Linked DNA regions of Saccharomyces cerevisiae S288C. The main gene of each other region encodes a partner of the protein of the gene in region 3 in a complex. Each region holds a gene or a part of one and is shown on either strand. Other genes may lie near its edges. The genes, in order: POL2, RFC4, DCC1 and CTF8. A codon is read from its position in the direction of its gene.

Region 1 (7,855 bases), on a different chromosome or scaffold from region 3:
CAAGGGTCTGTCATTGGCATGTGTCCCATTGTCAAGGTCATTGAGATTTTCTGGTAATTTCAGATCATCATCTTGAAAATGTCGTAAGACAGCTCTATATTTTTCGTTTTGATCTTCGGAGATGGGTTCCAGTAGAGGTGCGTTACCATACTTGGCAGGAGGGTCCAAGAATATCTTATCACATGGAATAAGTTTCTCTTTAGGCACAGCAGGCGTATGGTCCCGTTTTCTTGAAAAAAGACCCATTTTTGTTCTTCTTCTTGTGCTTTCTTTGTGTGATTTTTCAGGGTCTTTTTTTTTAAACAATGATGTAAATTAAATCTATCTAAAAAGCGTGATTTTTCCCACGAATTTTAATCCCTCTATTGTTCTCTTTCCACTCCATATTGAGTGAAAGGAAAAATAAGAAAAGTAAATAGAAAATTTATGACGTAGGAATAAAAGTATATAAGTATTTAACAAATTGACCGTAGATAATAATAATGCGCATGAAATTAAATCCTCTCTTTGATCTCTTCAATCAAGATCAACCCATTAACCACATTAGAACATTTTGCCAAATGAAGCCATAGACGAATAGGAAGTAATTGCACTTCTTGACGGTCGATTTGCTGATGGAAACGTGTATATCATCGTCTTCAGCACCGGAGCGGCTTAGTAAATTGAACTTGACGGATCTTAGTAGGAATACGCCAAAGGCAATAAATAAGTAAAATTTTATCAAAATATTCAGGTTAAATGGCATGGTCACGTTGGTCAAAAGCTGGGCGAGAATCAATGGAACAAATTTGTAGCCGACATAGCACAACAGTTCGACCAAACTGAAGCTTGGAATCTTAGAATCGATCAAAAGATACAAGCCAAGCTTCAAAATCAACAAATCTAAACACACAAACGCCAGAGTAGAAGACAGTTTGTAGTACAAGTCTTCGGGGTTGAATGAACCCTTCAGACCTTGCTGCGTATTCCAGATGAGAATATAGGTAACTAGTCCCATAATAGGCATGTACATGTCTGGGGAGTTCACGTCATCCCTTGGTGGCAAAAAGTTGCCAGAGTCCATAATTCGTTGCCAGTTCTTGGTTCCGTTAAGAAAAGGAACTAGGATGAGTTTCAATTTATTGATGACATAACGGGTGCTGACTTGAAAATACGTTGAAATTTGTTGAGAGCCGGCAGCGTTTGCAGTGGCTTTATTGACCGTTTCTTGAAACTGGTTAAAGTTATCCTGACCAATAAAATTAGAAAATGCGCTCTGCCCTAGTTGGAATGCCATCGAACCACGAGGATCTTGGAATGGAAAACCACCGCCACTGCCATTTACGTTTGCATTCATATTCGCATTACCTTGGCCATTCACGGGCGTGTTCCTCGGAATTTGCATTGGTCGTTGCTGTTGTGGAGTGTGGGAAAAGCGATCGTTAACGCCATTCTGCTCACTTGTTGCATATGCGTACGGATTATAAGACATCTTGGTATGGGCCTTTGGTTTTCGTTTTCTGCTATTGATACTCAGTAGCGAGGTCTTACAATCGAAAAGTCAAAAAGATGAGTTGTAGTATAAAACAACAGCTCTGGTGTGCAATATGGATCTTGATACAGAGTCTCGGATATGCTGTTTTAGCACTGAGAAAAAGTAATAGTAACACTGTCAGTGTTCGTCAAAGGCCCAAGTTTATTGTCATTTGAATTGTCAGAATGGTTTATTTTCAGGTAGGGTAACCAGAACGCGTAAGTTTCTTGCATCTTTTACCATTTTAACTGGAAGAGGACCTATCAAAAAGAGCATATGATGATGAAAGAGCACATTCTATCAAGATAACACTCTCAGGGGACAAGTATATGATGTTTGGCAAGAAAAAAAACAACGGAGGATCTTCCACTGCAAGATATTCAGCTGGCAACAAGTACAACACACTCTCAAATAATTATGCGCTTAGCGCGCAACAGCTCTTAAATGCTAGTAAGATCGATGACATCGATTCGATGATGGGATTTGAAAGATACGTACCGCCGCAATACAATGGCAGGTTTGATGCGAAGGATATAGATCAGATTCCAGGCCGCGTAGGGTGGCTGACGAACATGCACGCAACGCTGGTCTCTCAGGAAACCTTATCCAGTGGTAGTAATGGCGGCGGCAATTCGAATGACGGAGAACGTGTAACGACCAACCAAGGTATTTCCGGAGTTGACTTCTACTTTTTAGATGAAGAGGGTGGGAGCTTCAAGTCGACAGTTGTCTATGACCCATACTTCTTTATTGCGTGTAACGATGAATCAAGAGTAAATGATGTGGAGGAACTAGTGAAAAAATATCTGGAATCTTGTCTCAAAAGCTTACAAATCATTAGAAAGGAAGATCTTACCATGGACAATCACCTTTTAGGGCTGCAGAAGACACTTATTAAGTTATCATTTGTAAATTCCAATCAGTTATTCGAGGCCAGGAAACTCCTGAGGCCAATCTTGCAGGATAATGCCAATAATAATGTGCAAAGAAATATATATAACGTTGCTGCAAATGGCTCGGAAAAAGTTGACGCCAAACATCTGATCGAAGATATCAGGGAATATGATGTGCCGTATCATGTCCGAGTATCTATAGACAAGGACATTAGAGTCGGTAAATGGTATAAGGTAACTCAACAGGGATTCATTGAAGATACTAGGAAAATTGCATTTGCCGACCCTGTGGTAATGGCATTTGATATAGAAACCACGAAGCCGCCTTTAAAATTCCCGGATTCCGCCGTAGATCAAATAATGATGATTTCGTATATGATCGATGGGGAAGGTTTTTTGATAACAAATAGGGAGATAATCTCTGAGGATATTGAAGACTTTGAGTATACACCGAAACCGGAGTATCCTGGTTTTTTCACCATATTTAACGAAAACGATGAAGTGGCGCTTCTACAAAGGTTTTTTGAACATATAAGAGATGTACGACCCACTGTTATATCCACCTTCAATGGTGACTTTTTCGATTGGCCTTTTATACATAACAGAAGTAAGATTCACGGCTTGGACATGTTCGATGAAATTGGTTTCGCTCCAGATGCTGAAGGTGAGTACAAGTCCTCATACTGCTCTCACATGGATTGTTTCCGTTGGGTGAAGCGTGATTCTTATTTACCACAAGGTTCCCAGGGTTTAAAAGCTGTTACTCAATCTAAGCTAGGTTATAACCCAATTGAACTGGATCCCGAATTAATGACGCCGTATGCATTTGAAAAGCCACAGCACCTTTCCGAATATTCTGTTTCCGATGCAGTCGCTACGTATTACCTTTACATGAAATATGTTCATCCTTTTATCTTTTCCCTTTGTACTATTATTCCTTTGAACCCGGATGAAACATTGAGAAAGGGTACCGGTACTTTGTGTGAAATGTTGTTGATGGTTCAAGCTTATCAACATAATATTCTTCTACCAAATAAGCATACAGATCCCATTGAGAGGTTCTATGATGGACATCTTCTAGAATCCGAGACTTACGTGGGTGGACATGTGGAGTCATTAGAAGCTGGTGTTTTTAGGAGTGATTTGAAGAATGAATTCAAGATAGATCCTTCTGCCATTGATGAATTATTACAAGAATTACCAGAAGCTTTGAAATTTAGTGTGGAAGTTGAAAATAAGTCCAGTGTAGATAAAGTAACGAATTTTGAGGAAATAAAAAACCAGATAACGCAGAAATTATTAGAGTTGAAGGAAAACAATATAAGAAACGAACTACCTTTGATCTATCATGTAGATGTCGCCTCTATGTACCCAAACATCATGACTACAAATAGACTACAACCAGATAGTATCAAAGCAGAGCGCGATTGTGCTAGTTGCGATTTTAATAGACCCGGAAAAACCTGTGCAAGAAAGTTAAAATGGGCTTGGAGAGGAGAATTCTTTCCCAGTAAGATGGATGAGTATAACATGATCAAGCGTGCATTACAAAATGAGACTTTTCCCAACAAAAACAAGTTTTCTAAAAAGAAAGTTTTGACATTTGATGAACTAAGTTACGCAGACCAAGTTATCCACATAAAAAAACGTTTAACTGAATATTCAAGGAAAGTTTATCATAGGGTTAAAGTATCAGAAATTGTCGAACGAGAAGCCATTGTCTGCCAAAGAGAAAATCCATTCTACGTCGATACCGTGAAATCCTTTCGTGATAGGCGTTACGAATTCAAAGGTTTAGCCAAGACTTGGAAGGGAAATCTGTCCAAAATTGACCCATCTGATAAGCATGCGAGAGACGAGGCCAAAAAGATGATTGTGCTTTATGACTCATTACAATTAGCTCACAAAGTTATTTTGAATTCGTTTTATGGGTATGTTATGAGGAAAGGCTCTCGTTGGTATTCCATGGAAATGGCGGGGATTACGTGTTTAACAGGTGCCACGATCATTCAAATGGCGAGAGCTTTAGTAGAAAGGGTAGGAAGACCATTAGAATTAGATACTGATGGTATTTGGTGTATCTTACCAAAATCTTTCCCTGAAACTTACTTTTTTACATTAGAAAATGGTAAAAAGCTTTATCTCTCCTACCCATGTTCCATGCTGAATTACAGAGTTCACCAAAAGTTTACGAATCACCAATACCAAGAATTAAAAGACCCATTGAACTATATATATGAGACGCACAGTGAAAACACGATTTTTTTCGAAGTTGACGGACCATATAAGGCCATGATTTTGCCTAGTTCCAAGGAAGAAGGAAAAGGTATAAAGAAAAGATATGCTGTCTTCAATGAAGACGGCTCACTTGCTGAACTGAAAGGTTTTGAATTGAAGAGGCGTGGTGAATTACAACTAATAAAAAATTTTCAAAGTGATATTTTCAAGGTCTTTTTGGAAGGTGATACATTAGAAGGATGTTACAGTGCTGTAGCAAGCGTATGTAACCGTTGGTTAGATGTTCTTGATTCACATGGTCTTATGTTAGAAGATGAAGACTTGGTCAGTTTGATTTGTGAAAATAGAAGTATGTCAAAAACTTTAAAGGAATATGAAGGGCAAAAATCTACTTCTATTACGACGGCAAGGAGATTGGGGGATTTTTTGGGTGAAGATATGGTAAAAGATAAAGGTCTACAATGTAAATATATTATTAGTTCAAAACCTTTCAATGCACCTGTTACTGAACGAGCCATTCCAGTCGCAATATTTTCAGCGGACATTCCCATCAAAAGGTCTTTTCTGAGGCGATGGACATTAGATCCATCTTTGGAAGATCTGGATATCAGAACCATAATCGATTGGGGTTATTATAGAGAAAGACTTGGATCTGCTATACAAAAGATAATTACTATTCCAGCAGCATTACAAGGGGTTTCCAATCCTGTTCCAAGGGTTGAACATCCAGATTGGCTAAAAAGAAAAATCGCTACAAAGGAGGATAAGTTTAAGCAGACTTCACTAACCAAATTTTTTTCGAAGACAAAGAATGTACCAACAATGGGCAAGATAAAAGATATCGAGGATTTGTTTGAACCAACTGTAGAAGAAGATAACGCCAAAATTAAAATTGCAAGAACTACTAAAAAGAAAGCCGTATCCAAGAGGAAAAGAAATCAGCTTACAAATGAAGAAGATCCACTAGTATTGCCCTCGGAGATTCCTTCCATGGACGAGGACTATGTTGGGTGGCTAAATTATCAAAAAATTAAATGGAAAATCCAAGCAAGAGATAGAAAGCGTCGAGACCAATTATTTGGTAATACAAACAGCTCCCGTGAAAGAAGTGCACTAGGAAGTATGATTAGGAAGCAAGCTGAATCATATGCGAACTCCACTTGGGAGGTCTTACAATACAAGGATTCCGGTGAGCCAGGGGTTTTGGAAGTATTTGTAACAATTAATGGCAAAGTCCAGAACATCACCTTCCATATACCAAAAACTATTTATATGAAATTCAAATCTCAAACAATGCCGCTACAAAAGATTAAGAATTGCCTTATTGAAAAATCTTCTGCATCGTTACCAAATAATCCCAAAACGTCTAATCCAGCAGGCGGTCAGCTATTCAAAATTACTCTACCGGAATCTGTCTTTCTGGAAGAAAAGGAAAACTGCACTAGTATCTTCAACGATGAAAATGTACTTGGTGTATTTGAGGGCACTATCACTCCTCATCAAAGAGCGATCATGGATTTGGGAGCTTCGGTAACGTTCCGCTCAAAAGCAATGGGTGCGTTAGGCAAGGGAATACAGCAGGGTTTTGAAATGAAGGATCTTTCAATGGCGGAAAATGAAAGGTATCTGAGTGGATTTTCAATGGACATTGGCTATTTACTACATTTCCCAACATCAATTGGGTATGAATTTTTTTCATTATTCAAGTCATGGGGAGATACTATTACTATATTAGTTTTGAAACCATCCAACCAGGCTCAGGAAATAAATGCCTCATCATTAGGACAAATATACAAACAAATGTTTGAAAAAAAGAAAGGTAAAATAGAAACATATTCTTACTTGGTTGATATTAAAGAAGATATCAATTTTGAGTTTGTATATTTTACAGATATCTCAAAATTGTACAGAAGACTATCACAGGAAACTACTAAATTAAAAGAAGAAAGAGGTCTGCAGTTTTTACTCTTGTTACAATCTCCGTTTATCACTAAGCTCTTAGGCACAATCCGGCTTCTAAACCAGATGCCCATTGTTAAGCTTTCCTTGAATGAAGTTCTTCTACCCCAATTGAACTGGCAACCGACATTATTGAAGAAACTTGTTAACCACGTTTTATCCAGTGGTTCGTGGATTTCTCACTTGATCAAGTTATCCCAGTATAGTAACATTCCAATCTGTAATTTGAGGCTGGATAGTATGGATTATATTATTGATGTTCTTTATGCAAGAAAACTAAAAAAAGAGAACATCGTGCTTTGGTGGAATGAGAAAGCTCCACTTCCAGATCATGGAGGCATTCAAAATGATTTTGATTTAAATACATCATGGATAATGAATGATTCAGAATTTCCCAAAATTAATAACTCAGGTGTGTATGACAATGTAGTTCTCGATGTTGGTGTTGATAATTTAACAGTGAACACAATTTTGACATCAGCATTAATCAATGATGCTGAAGGCAGTGATCTAGTTAACAATAATATGGGTATAGATGACAAAGATGCCGTTATTAACTCGCCATCTGAATTCGTGCACGACGCCTTTTCTAATGACGCTTTGAATGTTTTAAGAGGTATGTTAAAGGAGTGGTGGGATGAGGCCCTAAAAGAAAATTCAACCGCAGATTTGTTGGTAAATTCCCTGGCAAGTTGGGTTCAAAACCCGAATGCGAAACTATTCGACGGATTACTAAGATATCACGTTCATAACTTAACAAAAAAAGCCTTACTTCAATTAGTAAATGAATTTAGTGCACTTGGCTCAACTATTGTATATGCAGACAGGAATCAAATTCTAATAAAGACAAACAAGTACTCACCTGAAAACTGTTACGCCTACAGCCAATATATGATGAAGGCAGTTAGAACAAATCCAATGTTTAGTTATCTGGACTTAAATATCAAACGTTATTGGGATCTGCTAATATGGATGGATAAGTTTAATTTTAGTGGATTAGCATGTATTGAAATAGAGGAAAAGGAAAATCAGGATTATACCGCTGTTTCGCAATGGCAACTAAAGAAGTTTCTGTCACCAATATATCAGCCCGAATTTGAGGATTGGATGATGATCATATTGGATAGTATGCTAAAGACAAAGCAGAGCTATCTAAAATTGAATTCAGGGACGCAAAGACCTACCCAAATAGTTAATGTAAAAAAACAAGATAAGGAAGATAGTGTTGAAAACTCGTTGAACGGATTTTCTC
Region 2 (3,451 bases), on a different chromosome or scaffold from region 3:
TGGCAGGGGAGAGATGAATAGGGTCTACTGCTGGTTTTTCCTCATTATCGTACCATAGACATTGACCTAGTAAAATGATATCTGCCACCGTATAGTAAGCAGCAAGAATGATCATGGTAGACAAAAGATGTTGCATAACGGCACCCATAAGGTTAAAGACATCGCCGGCCAACCAAAGTACCACGAACAATAAAGACAGCCCATCAGACGACTTCCGGTAAAAGTTCTCGTAAATTTGAGGGACAAACACAATGATCCAGCAGGAGATGGAGATGGACCCAGATATCCCACTTAGAGTGGATCTATTCAATTCTAGCGGCACAAGTTGCATAATTGAGGTCGTCGAGCGATGTGGTAGCTTTTTTTTTGTATGGCATTCTTTCGTTAGCAGTACATATCATCGCGAAGACGATTAAAGTACGTAGTGAATAAAAAGACGATATGTGAAAAATTGCAATCCGGGTAAAAATAAAAGAGTCATTAAGAGCAAAAATGACCATATTAGAGAATTTACAGGTAAAACACATACAACATCAAAGCAAAATAAGCAAAGAGAAATAAGAAGTATCCTCCCACGGCCCTACATTAGATTTGGACCTCTCGGACACTAAGATTGGTGTTGTTAATATTAAAAAGGGAATGCCATTTAGATTTCGAGTGGAGCCAGTTTCGGCGGCTAATGTCCAAGTACTATGATAAGCATAAACACCCTTTGAAGAACTACTACCAGTTGCGCATGTTTAACCCGTATCTCTGACATCAATATACACCTATTGTAGCTACGGAGACTATTACTATTTTGCTATTCAGTTACTAATAATACTACAGTGATGGCTGCCTATGTGTCCTTTGGAGCTGGCGAAGAGCTTGCGGATTTTGCTTCCGCATCCAGCTTTCTGGGTGGTAAAACGCTTTCAAAGGCATTTTTCCAGTTATGGTCATCAAAGTATTTCAGCATGAGTTGCACGACGTGCGTTGTCGTCAACACTCTTCTGCCTTCGAGATTGATGTACTCGTCAATGGGCAATCTTCGCGTAGGAATGCCCATCTTTTGGGCCTTCTTCAGACACAATTCTTTATAACGATTCTTGTCTACAATGCCGCCAACAATGTATCGCATCCCGGGTTCCAGCTTCTCCAGCTTTTCCTCTGTATCGGCCGTTAAATACACTATTTTGTCCTTACTTATATGCTCATCTCCAAACATGATTTTGTCGTCTGGTAGGAATTTAAAATGGTTCCAGTTTTCATAATTGGTATTTTTCAGAGTAGTTTCAAACCTTTGCTTTAGTCTTTTGTCGAATGGGGCCACCTTTATTTCTGCAAAATGGTTCGCCCTTCTATTCGCGGAGTATGCCCTGGTGACCTGGTTAGACAAGCTTACTATTTCCTTGTCGTTCATTAACTCATCAAAAGAACAGTCAAGTATGATCTCTATCCCAGAATCAGTCTGATTCACATTGATACGAGGCTCTCTAATCAATTCCTGCGGGACCTCTTCTCCCCTGTCAATGTATTCTTGAATCTTCGCACTTCTTTCATGGCGAAGTCTCTTCTTCTTTACACGGCGTTCCGCATTGTATTTGGCTTTATTCTCCTCCCATCTCTGTCTTTTACACATTTTTTTCCATTGCTTTTTAGACATGCCTTCTGGCACAGGCGGTAAAGGTGGTGTTCTTTTCACCTTTTCCTCGTTCTGGTTTATCTCATCATTGGACATGTTGTTTTGCCTGCAGATTGACACTTAATTATTTACCTTGAAAGCTTTACGCTATATTAAACATCACCATCTCTCTTAAAGACAATGAAAATTTTTCATTACCACATCACACTGTTAGATTAAACGCGTTTTTTCTTGACAAAAAGGTGGGAAAACCAACCACATATTTTAAATACTGTAAAATAGTAGCATTTATAAATCTGATTGGATCTATTATAACATTGCAGAGCTTCCCAGAAGATATAAAAAGTCCCTTATAATGTCCAAAACTTTATCTTTGCAACTTCCATGGGTTGAGAAATACCGTCCCCAAGTTTTATCTGATATAGTCGGTAATAAAGAGACCATTGATAGACTTCAGCAAATCGCTAAAGATGGTAACATGCCCCATATGATCATATCAGGTATGCCAGGTATAGGTAAGACCACTTCGGTACATTGCCTTGCTCACGAGCTCCTTGGCCGCTCTTATGCTGACGGTGTTTTAGAGTTGAACGCTTCAGATGACAGAGGTATTGATGTCGTCAGAAACCAAATAAAACATTTTGCCCAGAAGAAACTACATTTGCCTCCAGGGAAACATAAAATCGTTATTCTTGATGAGGCGGATTCCATGACTGCTGGTGCTCAGCAAGCGTTGAGAAGGACCATGGAGCTATATTCGAACTCTACAAGGTTTGCATTTGCTTGTAATCAATCAAACAAGATCATTGAGCCGCTGCAAAGTAGATGTGCGATTTTGAGGTATTCTAAACTATCCGATGAAGACGTTCTAAAACGTCTTTTACAAATCATAAAGCTAGAGGATGTTAAGTATACAAATGATGGGTTAGAAGCAATCATTTTTACAGCGGAGGGTGACATGAGACAGGCCATAAACAATCTACAAAGTACAGTAGCAGGACACGGTTTAGTGAACGCAGACAATGTCTTCAAAATTGTTGATTCTCCTCACCCTCTAATAGTGAAGAAAATGTTACTAGCCTCCAACCTAGAAGATTCAATTCAAATCTTAAGAACAGATCTTTGGAAAAAGGGTTATTCCTCGATTGATATCGTCACAACATCTTTCCGCGTTACCAAAAACTTAGCACAAGTGAAAGAATCAGTAAGATTGGAAATGATAAAAGAAATCGGTTTGACCCATATGAGAATTCTGGAGGGTGTTGGAACGTACTTGCAACTGGCTAGTATGTTAGCGAAAATTCATAAACTAAATAATAAAGCCTGATTTAAATATCCGAAAACTATAAAAAAAACTCCCATATTAGTGCATTACTTTAAATTCTACTTCTTTGTCTTGTCTCTTCCCTTGTGATGTGTCAGAATTTTTTTTTTTTTTTCATTTTTGCACAATTTAAGCTTTAAAGTTGTTTGTTGATCAAAACTTACAACTCGCAGTGCAGTTACATAGTCATAATATGTAGAAAAAATATAGAGAAGGTATACGTCGTTCGTTGAAGACAGATGGACAAGCTAACTCCATCTCAATGGAAGGTAATAAATAAGTCATATGAACCAGCGTCTACGATAAAAGTCATTGCGGGCCCAGGCTCAGGAAAAACGCTAACGCTACTATATAAAGTACTACATTTAATTACTGTGGAGAATATTAAGCCTGAAGAAATACTTATATTTTCGTTAACAAACAAAGCAGTTGATAGTATAATAGAAAATTTACTGTCCATTTTCGAAAACTCGCATACAAATAAGGAAATTGTCCATCAGATT
Region 3 (3,338 bases):
TTGCAGCAGCCTGAATATCGGTATGCGTTTCCAGAGAGAAGTTGTCGTCTAACTTCACGCCTGCTGCAGGAGGGGAATAGAATCTCCTGCTTACCAAACAAGCCCTATATGTGGCCGCTGGAACGTTGTAAACTTGAGATAATCTTGTTATCGATCTTGTAGCAGTTGATTTCAACATCTTCCAGTTGTAGCAGTTCCTTCGTGTATGCGATATATTTTAATGAAAATGATGTATCTGAAATAGAAAATATAACACACTAATGAACTCTGTCGGTCTTTACTCTGAGTGAGTTACTTAGATAGTCATCATATATCCCTGGGCGATGGCCTTACTATTTGTCAGCGACCGTATCTAAAATTGGTAGGTCACTATCAACTATTGCGGGTAATAGGGTGCATAATAGTATTGTAATATATATAAATATATAAAGCTACTATGATAGATATTTGTTGCTATTCACGTCATCCACTATTACTTTAGTGGTTCCGCTATATATTCGCATTGCCCATCGAAGGCAGTTTTGTGTGCTACCTGCTCGTGACCACGGTCTTTTTGCCCAGTCTTTTACGGCGGGCATACTTCATGATGAAACTGTCTATTTTCATACCTCTTGAATTTAGTTCTTCAATTAGAGGCTTGATATCCTCCAAGTCCCACTGTGACTGTAGCCTAAACAGGACTTTAAACCGTTCTTTGGGGTCCATTGGTAGTGTGCTTTTCGCTATATACTGGACAGTCTTATCGGTAGGCTTGAAATGATAGCCTCGCAGCATGTCAATGTCAATGTCACATGGGAAGAAAGGTGGGAAAAGGGACTTCCACTTGATGAGGAACTCATCAATTGGCATGCTTATTCCAGAAACATATTTCCTTAGCGCTTGAATCCCGTACCACTGAGCTATAAACGGTATTCTCAAGCGCCACGTATTGTTTTCAGCCTCTTGCTCTTGAACAGCAAATTTATTCAGCACTGTTTCAATGATTTCTCTTGTGTATGGATTGAACTCGTCCTCAATGTCCTTCCCCACAGCGTGATGTGTATCCTCAACATTCAGATGCTGTAGATCGAGTGATTCTGCCATTGCGCTCATCAGTAGTACATGCAGTGCTTTGAAAAGGAAGTCTTGTGAAAGAATACACAACACACCGTCTTTCACAGATCCACCAATCTTATGCCATTTTGATATACCTTCTAGCGCAGAACATGGTGAGTTCTCAAGTAGTTCTTCCAGGGTCCCGATAACCTTTGTAGATGACCTCTTCATGATTTTGTCGGAGAAATCCAGTTCTCCGTTGTATATTGGTACTGAATTCAAGTTCAATTCGCCATGTGTCTCTCTGGTCTCAAATTCTGATTCAGTCTTGGCGAATCCCACGACGTCCATGTACGGCTTGGACAGTCCAAACAAGAGCGTTTCGTCGAAAGTAATAGGTTGTTCAGGAACAAATTCTCTCATTAGTAGAACTGTGTTTGAATGTTTGCGCTGCTTCAGCACCCAAGTCTTGTCGTGCGAACACAGTACAACTTCAGACTTGTCTTTGTCCAATGACTTAAACCTTAACTGGTGATTTTGAACCGGATCCTGTATTATATCCAGTAACTCTGGTGTCAACTGGATCAGCTTATAAGATGGATCATACTCGGGTGCGGAATGTAGGTTGATGGACATGGTACAGGATTATTAGTGAGCAAATCTCTGGTGGATTTTTACCGTTCATCTCATAGTGCTTTTTTAGTTTATTTTTCACTTTTTTCTGGTTATACTATACGCTGCCTACTGAAGCAATAAGCAAGAAACACAACAGTATAAAGGGACAAAGATAATAAACCGCCTACTACTAAATAATATCGCTGTGGTATGCTACTCCTAGAGATTTCGATCACCATCGTGGTGCTCTTTGTCATACGCATAGAATTGACAAAAAAGAACCCTAAGCTATAAATTAGGTCATGTTGAGCGATTGCCAGTTGCCAAGACCTAGGGTTTTGTTCGAACAATTCTAAAAAGGTAAATAAAAACAATGGTAAACAAAGGCTTTGATCTTCAATGAGGAAGATTTCTCTCACTGCGGATAGTAAAAACAACACTAGTTTGTCTGTACTCGCATTCTACTGCTGCTACCTGCTACTCATTACGTGTTCGGGCTGTTATCTGGTTGCTAAAAGAGTATATTTACACCTCACCAATGGAGAAAGACCTGTCGTCTCTTTACTCTGAAAAGAAAGACAAAGAGAACGATGAAACCTTATTTAACATCAAACTATCCAAATCTGTTGTCGAGACCACACCGCTAAATGGTCATTCATTGTTTGATGATGATAAATCACTTTCAGACTGGACGGATAATGTGTTCACTCAATCAGTATTCTATCACGGGTCAGATGACTTGATATGGGGGAAGTTCTTTGTCTGCGTGTACAAGTCCCCCAACAGCAATAAGTTGAACGCTATAATATTCGACAAATTAGGAACATCATGCTTCGAATCCGTCGATATATCTTCCAACTCGCAATACTATCCGGCCATTGAGAATTTGAGTCCAAGTGATCAGGAAAGCAATGTTAAGAAATGCATTGCTGTCATTCTGTTACAGCGCTATCCATTACTTTCACCATCAGACTTATCACAAATATTGTCCAATAAATCGGAAAATTGCGACTATGACCCCCCTTATGCTGGAGATTTGGCTAGTAGTTGCCAGTTGATAACAGCAGTTCCTCCAGAAGATCTGGGGAAGCGCTTCTTTACATCAGGACTTCTGCAAAATAGATTTGTCAGCTCTACCCTGTTAGATGTTATTTATGAAAACAATGAATCCACCATCGAACTAAATAATAGGTTGGTATTCCATCTGGGTGAACAACTTGAACAACTTTTTAACCCAGTCACAGAATACTCACCGGAACAGACAGAATATGGTTATAAGGCGCCAGAGGACGAATTACCCACAGAATCGGATGATGATCTTGTCAAGGCCATTTGCAACGAGTTATTACAACTACAAACAAATTTTACTTTCAATTTGGTAGAATTTTTGCAAAAATTCCTGATCGCCTTGAGAGTCAGAGTACTCAATGAAGAAATTAATGGGTTATCCACAACCAAATTAAATCGACTCTTCCCACCTACAATAGATGAAGTCACAAGAATCAATTGTATTTTTCTAGACTCGCTAAAGACAGCAATCCCTTACGGTTCCCTCGAAGTACTGAAGGCATGCAGCATTACTATTCCTTATTTCTACAAAGCATATACAAGACACGAGGCGGCCACAAAGAACTTCAGCAAAGATATTAAATTGTTTATTAGGCATTTCAGCAATGTAATTCCAGAAA
Region 4 (2,692 bases), on a different chromosome or scaffold from region 3:
TTCATCGCCGAAGAAAAAAATGACAAAAAGTTGAATGAAAAGGATTATTTTAAACAAGAACTAAGGTAAAGTCTCCTTCTGGGAGCAACCCTTACAAGCAACCACACACCCACATACTCAATTGATAATGTCTGCTATCCCAGAAAACGCCAACGTTACCGTCTTAAACAAGAACGAAAAGAAAGCCAGAGAATTGATTGGCAAATTGGGTTTGAAGCAAATCCCAGGTATCATCAGAGTCACTTTCAGGAAGAAGGACAACCAAATCTATGCTATTGAAAAGCCAGAAGTCTTCAGATCTGCCGGTGGTAACTACGTTGTCTTCGGTGAAGCTAAGGTTGACAACTTTACCCAAAAGCTAGCCGCTGCTCAACAACAAGCTCAAGCTAGCGGTATTATGCCATCTAACGAAGACGTCGCTACCAAGTCCCCAGAAGACATCCAAGCTGACATGCAAGCCGCCGCAGAAGGCAGTGTCAACGCCGCAGCAGAAGAAGATGACGAAGAAGGTGAAGTTGATGCCGGTGACTTGAATAAGGATGATATCGAGTTAGTCGTTCAACAAACTAACGTTTCCAAAAACCAAGCCATCAAAGCCCTGAAAGCTCACAATGGTGACTTAGTCAACGCTATCATGTCCTTGTCTAAATAATGATATAAAAATATATTATATAGGGGTACGTAGTTATTCTAACGCAAAATCATTTTGTTTTTTCCTTCTCCGACTGCGAAGGCTGTGCCGGTTGTTTTGCTTCAATGGCGTCTTCTCTTTCCTTTACTTCGTCTATTTTGTGGTTACAGTGAGGACAGATAAAGATGATTGGCTTACTGGCCAATCTGTAGCAATTGGATTTCCAATGACACTGTGGACATATGATTTTTTTGAAGGGAGAGAGCGAACTTGTTGAGTCCAATTCATTACCGCCTGCCAGTACGCTGATGATTTTGTCGAACCATGCATCGCTGTCTTCCTTCTTTAGGCCCTTTACATGGCTTTCCTTCTTAAATTTTTCTAGCTCTGTCTTTAGATTGTTTAATTCTTGGTATTTAGCATTTAATTCATCATCTAGAAGTACCATGGCATCGTCGTTTTGATCTTCACCGGAAGAAAACCGTTGGATGATTGAGCTTGTAGCATTATAGTGGGTCTCTTCCTTTAACTTTTCCAGTTTCTTTTGATGAATTGCACGGAGTTTTGCCAACTTGCGTAACCTATTGTTGTTATAAAATGCATAGAGTTTGGTTAATGCCCATTTGAACAAGATTAGCGAGCCTATGCATAGTAGCGCAGTCACCACAAGGTATGGTCGATAACCATGGTACTCCCAATATGTGTAGCTCAGGGCCAATACCGTTAACGCAATACCATAAAAGGTCAGATTTGATTGCCATTGACTCAAGATGGATTGGCTTTTCTTTAACGCGACATCTAATTGATGGATCTGTGAAGTTATTTGTGATAAATCTGCGGTATACTTCGTCACAAAGTCCTTATCATTGCGAGAGCCTCGGACCCATTTACCTAATGCACTAAACATATTTATGTTATTCTTTTATATCCGATCTCCTCTTTGTATGATTTTTGTTTTCTTAAAATATACATGTCAACGTTAGCATCTTGAATTTCATTTTTCCTTTAATCTTTTTTAGTAAGCTAACCACTAATATAGCCAAAGGAGTGATAGAAAAAAGAATTATCACTATCATTCAGCCCAATAAACAGCTGAAAAGAATGCCTAGTGTAGATATAGATGCTAGTCAATGGCAGAAGTTGACACAGTCAAGAGAAAAGCAGACCACGGTGATAACACCGCTTGGGATGATGATGCTGGAGATTCAAGGTGAACTAGAGTTGCCTAAGGACTTTGCGTCGCTGGCGAGGAGAGATTCTCCAAATGAGGGAAGGTTCAGTGAACAGGACGGCGAAACTTTAATACGATTTGGGTCGTTACAGATTGACGGAGAGAGGGCCACATTGTTTGTCGGCAAGAAACAGCGTTTACTGGGGAAGGTGACAAAGCTAGACGTACCGATGGGTATAATGCATTTCAATTCGAAAGATAATAAGGTCGAATTAGTTGATGTAATGAAATATAAGGTTATCTTTAAGGATAGGCCTCTACCTATTATGTAAGTACTTAGTTATTGTTCGGAGTTGTTTGTTTATGTTATTTGGCGCAGACTTCACGCTCTGTGTAAAGTGTATATATAATAAAACCCAAGAAGAACGGACAAGATGATAGATAAAACCATATTGAACTTGTACTCTTCTTCTTGTTGGGTTGGAACCAATTCATCATCGTATCTGGATCTTTCTTTAACTTTCAAGAAAATTGGAGTTTCATTTGGCTTCACGTTAGGAGGTAATTTATCCTGGTACATTTCTTCCATAAACTGTTCGATCTTGGAGATTTGAATGTTCAATTTTAAGAAATTTGGATCTTGCACAGCCAATTTAGATTTGATATCACGTAAGTAATAGTCAAAAATCTCGACACAGCCACGCAAAGTCCTTGATTTCAAAATTAAATAGCAGGTAGTACCCTTACGAATCTTTACATTGCCATGTAGCACTTCACGGTTGTTGAATACCAAAGCCAAGGTTGCAATGGCCATAACTTGGGGAATGGCACAAAATTGGAAAGTGGATTGCTCGTGGATACCGGCCAAATAAGTCAACACATCGATAACA

Evidence for each region.
Region 1: the proteins of DCC1 (region 3) and POL2 are in contact, whole or in part, in a crystal structure (PDB 5OKI), measured with the Saccharomyces cerevisiae proteins. Residues at the interface, in NP_009913.2 of Saccharomyces cerevisiae: Met356 (codon at 606), Lys357 (codon at 603), Ser360 (codon at 594), Met363 (codon at 585), Lys364 (codon at 582), Arg367 (codon at 573), Arg368 (codon at 570), Lys369 (codon at 567), Arg370 (codon at 564), Gly372 (codon at 558), Arg380 (codon at 534); in NP_014137.1 of Saccharomyces cerevisiae: Glu125 (codon at 2,215), Gly126 (codon at 2,218), Gly127 (codon at 2,221), Val285 (codon at 2,695), Phe320 (codon at 2,800), Asp334 (codon at 2,842), Phe346 (codon at 2,878), Thr348 (codon at 2,884), Phe350 (codon at 2,890), Arg361 (codon at 2,923), Glu364 (codon at 2,932), His365 (codon at 2,935), Asp368 (codon at 2,944), Val369 (codon at 2,947).
Region 2: DCC1 (region 3) and RFC4 share a complex: the UniProt entries of both Saccharomyces cerevisiae proteins name them as parts of the CTF18-RFC complex.
Region 4: the proteins of DCC1 (region 3) and CTF8 are in contact, whole or in part, in a crystal structure (PDB 5OKC), measured with the Saccharomyces cerevisiae proteins. Residues at the interface, in NP_009913.2 of Saccharomyces cerevisiae: Ser2 (codon at 1,668), Ile3 (codon at 1,665), Asn4 (codon at 1,662), Leu5 (codon at 1,659), His6 (codon at 1,656), Ser7 (codon at 1,653), Ala8 (codon at 1,650), Pro9 (codon at 1,647), Tyr11 (codon at 1,641), Asp12 (codon at 1,638), Ser14 (codon at 1,632), Tyr15 (codon at 1,629), Lys16 (codon at 1,626), Leu17 (codon at 1,623), Ile18 (codon at 1,620), Gln19 (codon at 1,617), Leu20 (codon at 1,614), Leu25 (codon at 1,599), Ile28 (codon at 1,590), Gln29 (codon at 1,587), Asp30 (codon at 1,584), Pro31 (codon at 1,581), Asn34 (codon at 1,572), His35 (codon at 1,569), Leu37 (codon at 1,563), Arg38 (codon at 1,560), Phe39 (codon at 1,557), Lys40 (codon at 1,554), Ser41 (codon at 1,551), Leu42 (codon at 1,548); in NP_012061.3 of Saccharomyces cerevisiae: Pro2 (codon at 1,736), Ser3 (codon at 1,739), Val4 (codon at 1,742), Asp5 (codon at 1,745), Ile6 (codon at 1,748), Asp7 (codon at 1,751), Ala8 (codon at 1,754), Ser9 (codon at 1,757), Trp11 (codon at 1,763), Gln12 (codon at 1,766), Gln16 (codon at 1,778), Thr23 (codon at 1,799), Ile25 (codon at 1,805), Gly29 (codon at 1,817), Met30 (codon at 1,820), Met31 (codon at 1,823), Met32 (codon at 1,826), Leu33 (codon at 1,829), Glu34 (codon at 1,832), Ile35 (codon at 1,835), Gln36 (codon at 1,838), Gly37 (codon at 1,841), Glu38 (codon at 1,844), Leu39 (codon at 1,847), Leu41 (codon at 1,853), Phe45 (codon at 1,865), Pro54 (codon at 1,892), Asn55 (codon at 1,895), Glu56 (codon at 1,898), Gly57 (codon at 1,901).

What each region holds. Positions count from the first base shown.
Region 1 is NC_001146.8:146,370-154,224, forward strand, and holds the start of POL2 (DNA polymerase epsilon catalytic subunit), read left to right. Parts: upstream 1-1,842; coding exon 1,843-7,855. Other genes in the region: PDR17 (phosphatidylinositol transporter), read right to left, coding at 1-246; protein transporter YIF1, read right to left, coding at 527-1,471. UniProt on the Saccharomyces cerevisiae protein: Catalytic component of the DNA polymerase epsilon complex which participates in chromosomal DNA replication.
Region 2 is NC_001147.6:141,084-144,534, reverse strand, and holds RFC4 (replication factor C subunit 4), read left to right. Parts: upstream 1-1,979; coding exon 1,980-2,951; downstream 2,952-3,451. Other genes in the region: YPQ1 (cationic amino acid transporter), read right to left, coding at 1-331; TRM10 (tRNA (guanine(9)-N(1))-methyltransferase), read right to left, coding at 839-1,720; HMI1 (ATP-dependent 3'-5' DNA helicase), read left to right, coding at 3,188-3,451. UniProt on the Saccharomyces cerevisiae protein: Component of ATP-dependent clamp loader (RFC and RFC-like) complexes for DNA clamps, such as the POL30/PCNA homotrimer and the checkpoint clamp DDC1:MEC3:RAD17 complex.
Region 3 is NC_001135.5:94,093-97,430, forward strand, and holds DCC1 (Dcc1p), read right to left. Parts: upstream 1,672-3,338; coding exon 529-1,671; downstream 1-528. Other genes in the region: NFS1 (cysteine desulfurase), read right to left, coding at 1-178; BUD3 (Bud3p), read left to right, coding at 2,189-3,338. UniProt on the Saccharomyces cerevisiae protein: Component of the RFC-like complex CTF18-RFC which is required for efficient establishment of chromosome cohesion during S-phase and may load or unload POL30/PCNA.
Region 4 is NC_001140.6:485,672-488,363, reverse strand, and holds CTF8 (Ctf8p), read left to right. Parts: upstream 1-1,732; coding exon 1,733-2,134; downstream 2,135-2,692. Other genes in the region: EGD2 (Egd2p), read left to right, coding at 128-652; LNP1 (Lnp1p), read right to left, coding at 702-1,538; ERG9 (bifunctional farnesyl-diphosphate farnesyltransferase/squalene synthase), read right to left, coding at 2,185-2,692. UniProt on the Saccharomyces cerevisiae protein: Essential for the fidelity of chromosome transmission. Required for the DNA replication block checkpoint.